Cricetulus griseus: one gene and its partner. The main gene of each other region encodes a partner of the protein of the gene in region 2 in a complex. Links are inferred from orthologs where the notes say so. Each region holds a gene or a part of one and is shown on either strand. Other genes may lie near its edges.

Region 1 (3,743 bases), on a different chromosome or scaffold from region 2:
CTAAAGATTAAGAACACTGGTTTCAAACATGTTTCATCTGTGAGATCTTGTTTATTGTACTCCAAAACAGCAGGACATAATGTCAGTTTGAGCCCAGGCTGGTTCTTCGAACTGTCTTCTCAACTATGAAATTAAAACTCTGAGAACTAAAACACTTTACTCGGAAAGCGTTCAATGATAAAGCATAACGTGCCACAGTGTTGCACAATGCCACTGTCACAAACATCTGCATCCCTGGGATGGAAGGACAATTTGTAGATACTGCTTCTACAGCGTTCCGGGATCTTCATGTCTCTATTCTGGGTCGTGTGCCAGAAGAAAAAATAAACCATTCCTTTCAGAAGCTAATTATCCAACTGAAGCCGTGAAAGATACAAAGCAGGGTGGACTAAGCCCGTAAATGTGGCCTGTGGGTTTGAGTAGACGCGATCAATGACTACTACACATACACGTTTTCATGTTATGGAAAGGACGAGGGAAACAGGACGACCTCTCCTCCCACCGGACAAATACTGAGCAGAGGTTTTTGTGAGACGGAACCTATCTTTTGTGCTATCTGTTTGGTATACAGTGCATGCTCAGGGCACTCCTTATCTTCATGCTGGGAACAAAGTACACACACCCCTTTCTGAGACCCAGGGTCTTAGGACCTCCTGGAGCGGCATGGGCTCCGGGCCTACGGGGCCACACAAAGGGGGCGTTTTGCCTGCTCACCCCCCCCCCGCCCCACACACACCCAGGCCCTTCGGTCCCGGGTTCGCCTTCAGGGTCCCTCGGCCCCGCCCCTGCAGTGCCCTCCCAGCCTCTTGCGCGCGCCCCTCCTCATCCGCGGGCAGCCGGAAAACCCGGAGCGAACCGGCCTGGGCCGGCGGCGCATGCTCAGTCGCGGGCAGGTTCAGTTTGCTACTAGGAAGCTCCAGCGCTACACGCGGCGGCGGCGGCGGCGGCGGGCGGCGGCGGCGGCGGCCCCAGCAGCGAACTCCGGCCCTTCCCCGCCTCCGCCCGACCCCGGTCCCCGGGCTCCGCCCCGCTCCGAGCTTCGCGCTCGACTTCCCCGCAGGCCAGCGGGAGCCACCGGTTAGAGCGTCCCTCCACGCGCCGTCTCTCGGCGGCCCAGGCCGTGCCGGGGAGCGCAGTCCGGTTGCGGGCGTCGGAGGGCGGCCCGGGGCGGAGCGGGGGGCCTGCCCCGGGGCGGTGGTGCGGGATGCAGCCGCCGCCACCGTCGGGCTGCGTTGGTTCTCGGCGACCGGCGCGCGTGTCGGGTGGGTGGGCGGGCCTCGCCCCCAGCCGCCTCGCCAGCGCTAGCCCGGCCGCGCGGCGCCCGAAGGGGCCGGGCTGTGCGCGGGCTGCGGCCCTGCTCCGCTCCGCTCCGCGCCGCGCCGCGAGCCGCCGCCCCTCCGCCCGCCCCGAGGCGTCCCGCGGGCACCATGCAGGCGCAGCAGCTGCCCTACGAGTTTTTCAGCGAGGAGAACGCGCCCAAGTGGCGGGGGCTGCTGGTGCCGGCGCTGAAAAAGGTAGGAGCGCCGAGCCCGCTCCCGGCCGCAGCCCGCGCCGGGCTGGCCGAGAGCGGGGAGGCGGGGCGCGCACCGCCGTCTTTCTCCCTGGTCGGCAGGGTCCCCGGGAGGACCGTGCAGGCGGCGATCTTCCCCGCGCCCGGCTGCTCCAGCTGTTGACACCCGCCCGGCGTGCGTGGGAAGGCCACACACAGTTGGGGAGGGTTGGCCCCGATAATCCAAGCGCTGAGGCGACGGTTAGAGGAGCCTCGGTTTACCGTGGAGGTCAAAGAAGGCCACTGCCTACCGTCTCGGTCTTAGCGAGCTGCGGTCAGCCTCCCGTTTTGGGAGTCCAGTGCGCTCTTACTGGCTGGAGAGTGCCCTGGCCACAGTGCTTGCCTAAGTAATTGCGAGGTAGCCTGCCAGCAAGAACATGGCCTGCTTGGCTTTGCTCGCCTTCAGTCACTAACTCCCGGTCCTTTTGACACTCCCCCAGCCCCATTACAGGGGTGATGCACATGCCACTGTGTTCAGATGGGTTCTTCTGGGGAGTCTGAGAATCTTTGAACCCTTGTTTGGTTTGGCGCTTTGTATTTTTAGTCTTTGTGTGTTACTTTGATTTTACCAGAGGTTAAAGTAAATTTTTTTTGAAAATGTTGCTACATTTTAAAAGCTCCTAAAGCAACACTGTAAACAGTCTGTTCTTTGGTTTGGCATTTCGAATTTTTAGCCTTTGTTTTTTAGATTGCTAGTGACTAAATCTTAAAAGCTTCCAAAGCAACATTGTTACTTAGTAGATTCTGTAGTAAGACATCTGAAACAGAGGTGGTTGAGTGGATTTTAAAACAACCGGATTGTTTTTGCTCACATTTGCCTTACCTGTAAAAACTGCTTTACTCTTTCAGTAGTTTTAATCTAAATTTCTTGTTGCTCAAATAGTTTTCAAGCTATCTTTGCTAAAATACAGCTTTGTTTCAATTGAGAATTGAGAGTGTTTACTGTACCATTGTGTGGAGGCTTTTATTATACCAGAGAGTTTTGAAAGGTGTTTCATAGTCCTCAAAGGCTAGCAACTTTTAGTTTCTCCTTTGCCCTGTTCATCCCTTCCCCTGTTGGTATCTTACGGTGGAAATTGCCAGAAGACTTTGTTTTTATTTTTCATATTTAGGTTACTGGTTTCTATCCTCAAGTGTCTCACTGCTTACAAACCTCTGTGGTGTTTTTCTATGGAAATCAAAGAGGCCACCTTGTCGTGCATACTTTGTTCATTAATGATCCCATGAGGCCTCACTCCGTCTTTTTTTACATTGGTTTACCTGCACACTTGACTGCTTAGCTTGTAGAAGTGGAGAAGTGTGCCTCAAGATGCTTGAAGCTTGGTATCTTGACAAGATGAGAGAGAAGAGTTGATTTATATGTATAAAAGCCCTCACAGGACATTACCAGTTTGGGGTATTTGGTTTAAAAGCAAGGAGCTCAAAAATAACACTTGAGAACCCTTTGAAGTGGTGGAAAGTGCATTGTAGAAGTTGGCAGACCTCTCTAACCTGCCACATGGGTGGCCCTTGGTGAAATCTATTCACAGACACATTTGTTTGGCTGTCATTGTGGTGTTTTGTTTTTTAATTTATGTAATTAGTTGCCACTATCCTAAATGAAAAGTATCACATAGGCTGAATTCCTATTTTGTTCTTGAGTTATAGACAGTCTTGCCATTTTCACACAACAGTAAATTACTAGAGTTGTAAGTGGCTGCCTTCTTGAGAAAGTGTTGTGTTTCCAGTTTAACACAGTGTTACTCAGGTTGGTTGGTTTTCCATTTCAAGCAGAGGTATCCCTGCAGAAGTGATGTGTTTATAGAATCTTCCTAACATGTAAGGTTCTTCTCATTTAAATTCTCACCTACAATGCTCTTCAGACACCTAAGACAGCTTGGACATATTTTTCATAATCTGAATATGCTCTTGTATCTTAAAATTACTGAATTATCATCTATGTGCTGGGCATTTCATGTAGATGTGTCCATGGACATTTTGTGTGGGTGTGTCCTTATCTTGAACTCTTTCTTCAGACTTTAAACTACTTGTATAATGCCTAACTATGCCTTTTCTTACCGGAGGCTTTTTGGACAGACTGTTCCTTTTATCTGGTCTAATACTACTCAATCTCAGAGATTTTTCCCAAACCCTCAGGGCTGAGTTGGATAGTGCTCCATTGTTTCATGCTAGCATCTTATCCTAACGCAGCAGT
Region 2 (3,743 bases):
TTTCCCTACAGTGAGAGGGTAAGTGTGAGTGTGAGTGTGAGTGTGAGTGTGTGTGAGTGTGTGTGTGCGTGAGTGCGTTGGGGAGAACACTCCAGATCCGGACCTAGAAGGTCCATGAAGAGCACTCCACTCGCAGAACCGTGAGTCAGGCCAGCTAACCTTCAGTGTGTGCACTCTGACCCCGAGTGGATTACCTTTTACCTAGCACTTTCTCCAGCCCGATCTGCTACACTTCCTGGATGAAAACTATCTGAGGAAACTGACTGACTGATGCTTAGGATACCCTGAATATAAAACCACTAGGGATCACTCGCCCCGAGACCAGACAGACCCATCTACATGGAGTTACATGCACACTTTGCGCAGCAGGGAGCGAGCACTCAGGGCCAACCCAAGCGCAGGCGCCCCCTGCGATGTCACACTGCAGTTTAGGTGCAGACTCCCCCTGCATGGCTTTTCTCCAAGTCACCATTTATTAAGTCGGCCCTAACGTCTTCTCCGCCAATCTCCTTTGCAGTTCAAGTTCCCTAGATCCCAATTTATTTCTGATCAACTTTTTTTTTTTTTCTTTCCTTGAACGGGGTCAAGAGCACGGTTCTCAACCACAGGGATCCCAGGAAATGAATTTCCATGACAGTCACTGCCCAATGCACCGCCACCACCCAAGGCCACCATCGCACCCTTTCCTTTAACCTTTCCAGAAATCGCTTTTTTGGGGGGTGGGGAGGGGTGGTGTGGTGTGGGGAGGGAGGGGGCGTTAAATCAATGAGAAGCATCCTCAACTGAAACAAGCGCCGGGGCCTGGCTAGGCCGAGTTAACCCTTTGCGGTCTGGAAACCTCACACCAGAAACGGCCCTGGGAAGTGATGTCAGCGCGGCCCCGGCGGCCCCACCCCCGCCGACCTCAGCCGCCCGGTTCCCCGCGGGAAGCACACGAAGAACCAGCATCTACACTGCGGGAGCCCTCGCCGCACCCACTTAACCCTCGCCTGCCCGGGGCGGGCGGGCGGGCGAGCGGGGGCGAGCCGAAACCGCGCCCCAGACTTTTTAAAGCCAGCGCCAGTCCTCGCTCGCGTCCGCGCCGCCCGCAGCCACCTCCCCTTCTTGGCTCCGCCCAGGCTGGCGCCTCCGCCGGTCCCCGGCTCGCTCGCTCGCCCTCTCTCTCTCTTTGTCATGGCGGAACTGTGTCAAGGAGCCCAACCCAACCCGAGCACCGCCGAGCCGAGAGGGAGGAGCGGTCGGGTCGGGTGGGGTGGGGTGGTGGAGGTGGGGGGGAGGAGGCGGCGGCGAGCGGCTCGCCCTACCCGGAGGGGGCCCCCCGATGCCAGCCAGCGGCGCCCGCACGAGCGGAACCGACGGCGGCCGACCCGCACCGGACACACCCCGCTCTCTCCCTCCCGGGGTCCCCCCTCCCGCCCCCGACAGCTGCGGAGGAGGAGGAGGGGGATGGGAGGGGCCGGGCCCCACCCAGACCGGCGCAGCCCCCGCTCTCCCCGAAGGATGCTCACCTCCCACCCGGCCGGAGACCCCCCTGCGTCCCCGGGGCGCCCAGGCCGAGCCCCTCCCCCAACCACCCACCCACCCACCGAGTGTGCGAGCGTGCGAGCGAGTGAGCCACCGAGAGGGACCCAGGAAGCTCAGCCCCGGGTCCCCGGCGGGAGGGCAAGCGGGAGGGCGAGCCGGCCCCACCCCGGAGACTCGCTCTCTCTCGCGCGCGCGCTACCTGGCTGCCCGCGCGGCGGGGGAGGGGCGGCGGGGGCGCCACGGCGGGGTGGGGGCCGCCTCACCTGCGCCACGGCCCCGGTCCCAGCCGCGGCGGAAGCGGGTGCCGGCGGGGGCGGATGGCGCTCGCCCGCTCGCCCGAGCTTCAGCCCTACCCCCCCCAAACCCGGGAGGGTCTCGCGCGTGGGCGCCTCCTCCGCCACCCCCACCCCCGGGGACACGGGACACGGGCGGACGGGGCGACCAGCACCCCGGCAGGGCCAGCAGCAAGCGGCCCGGGGGCGGCCGTGGGCGCTCGCCCGGGGCTCGGCGGGACGAGCCGCCGCCCGGGTCCAGGATCCTTGGGGACGCCCGCCGCGGCGGGGCGGGCGAGCGGCGGAGGGGCCAGCCCGGGAGGCTGCTCACCTGTGTCCGGAGTGGGTGGCGGCACACGGACCCGGTCGGCAGTGTCCCTGGGCGGCGGCGGCGGCGAGGCTGAGACTCTGTCCCTGATCTGGCTGCTCACAGGCTACAGCGGCTCCGCAGACACGGGGTTTCCTCCAATCACTAGCCCCGGCAGCAGGGGCACCACACGCACAATGACGTCAAACGCTGCTATGGCAACCGTTGATTGGTGCCCGGCGCAACCGCCGCTCCCCCGGCGCGCGCCCGCCCCGCCCACCCGCTCGCTTGCCCGCCCGAGGCGAGCTCAGGGAGAGCGCGTCCCCGACCCTGCCTCCTCCTCCTCCTCCTCCCGCGCGCTCGGCTCGCCCCCGCCGCCCCCGCGAGCCGCCCTCCTTCCTCCTTCCCTCCTCCCTCCCGCGCCGCCCCTGCGGCCCGCGGAAGGAAGCCGCTCCCTCCCCCCTACACCTCTACTGGCGGGCACATCCGGGACCTTTCGCGTCTTCCCCCCCCCCCACCCGCCCCTCCCCCTCCCGGCCGCCCCGGTAATGACGGCGGGCTCTGCGGCCGGGGCATTGTGATCAGAGCCCCGGTTGCGGGGCGGCAGCGGGCGTGGCCGCTTGCTAGCTCGCCCGCTCGCCCACCGCTGCAGTAAAGCGGCCTTAGACCTTTTAAGGCTCGGGCGAGCCGCCCGCTGTCCCTCCTGTCGCCCCGCACAGACCGTGACAGCCAGGGAGACAATGGGGGGTCTCCGGGAGGAGAGGGGAAGGGCTTGTGCGAGCTGGGGGGACACAGGCTCACACAGCGAGCCGATCTCCGGGCGCTGCACTGTTGCCCCCCCCCCCCCACACACACACACAGCCGGGCTTTGACGGGGAGGCTCGTTGTCTCCACTTAACGCTCTCAAAGAGCCTTTTAGGTCCTGGGAGCCACCTTGGGGATACTGGCTGCTCGCTCTCGGGGCCCCCCATCTGACAGTGGGAGGGGGGCCGCTCGCCCGAGCAGGGGCGGGAGCGCCTGGGCCCGGAAGAGGGGGTAGGAAGAGGGCGGAAATTGCAGGTGCCTGCACCCGCAAGGTCTCCACCCAGCAGACGGAAGCGGAGGGAGAAGCATTCTCAGCGTGAAGCGTGTGCCCTTGCGTCCTTTAAACGTGCGTCCTGAGTTGAAGCAAACGCCTTTACCCAGCTCCTGCTGGCTGGAAAAAAGAAAAGGGGGGAAAAAGTATTCAGCCCATAGCTCTCCAGAAGATTCCACGACAAGCTGTTCTTCCCCCAACTCAGTGTCTGTCTGTCGGATACATGGTCTGGTCATAAGCTTGCTCTACAAATGATCATTTCCCTGAAATGGCAGATAGGTAGCTCGAGAGTTGCCTGTGATCGCTTTCCCCTGACCCACCCACCCCGAGTCTGCACATCCACAGATCCACAGCACCGCTAAAACAGATAGATGAGCAAACCGATGCAGGCTCTCATGGAGACTCTTGCAGGGAGTGACTCACTTCGTAGGTGACTAACACTTCAAAAGATTCCAGGTTTCCAGCTTTGTAGTAGGCGCTCGCAATTTGACAGAAGGTACTAGGTTAAATCTCCTGTAAAGTGGGAATGGCTGTTAATGTCCGAAATAACACGCGTGCATGAAAT

Evidence for each region. Proteins that work in one complex are often made in the same cells at the same time.
Region 1: the proteins of Ywhaz (region 2) and Sos1 are in contact, whole or in part, in a crystal structure (PDB 6F08), measured with the Homo sapiens proteins. The link is inferred for Cricetulus griseus from reciprocal best matches to the Homo sapiens genes YWHAZ and SOS1. Residues at the interface, in NP_001129171.1 of Homo sapiens: Glu14, Asn38, Asn42, Ser45, Val46, Lys49, Arg56, Arg60, Phe117, Lys120, Arg127, Tyr128, Ile166, Gly169, Leu172, Asn173, Val176, Glu180, Asp213, Leu216, Ile217, Leu220, Asp223, Asn224, Leu227, Trp228; in NP_005624.2 of Homo sapiens: Arg1157, Arg1158, Pro1159, Glu1160, Ser1161, Ala1162, Pro1163, Ala1164, Glu1165, Ser1166.

What each region holds. Positions count from the first base shown.
Region 1 is NC_048600.1:3,606,447-3,610,189, forward strand, and holds the start of Sos1 (son of sevenless homolog 1), read left to right. Parts: upstream 1-1,333; 5' UTR 1,334-1,427; coding exon 1,428-1,514; intron 1,515-3,743.
Region 2 is NC_048603.1:14,723,432-14,727,174, reverse strand, and holds the start of Ywhaz (14-3-3 protein zeta/delta), read right to left. Parts: upstream 2,268-3,743; 5' UTR 2,128-2,267; intron 1-2,127.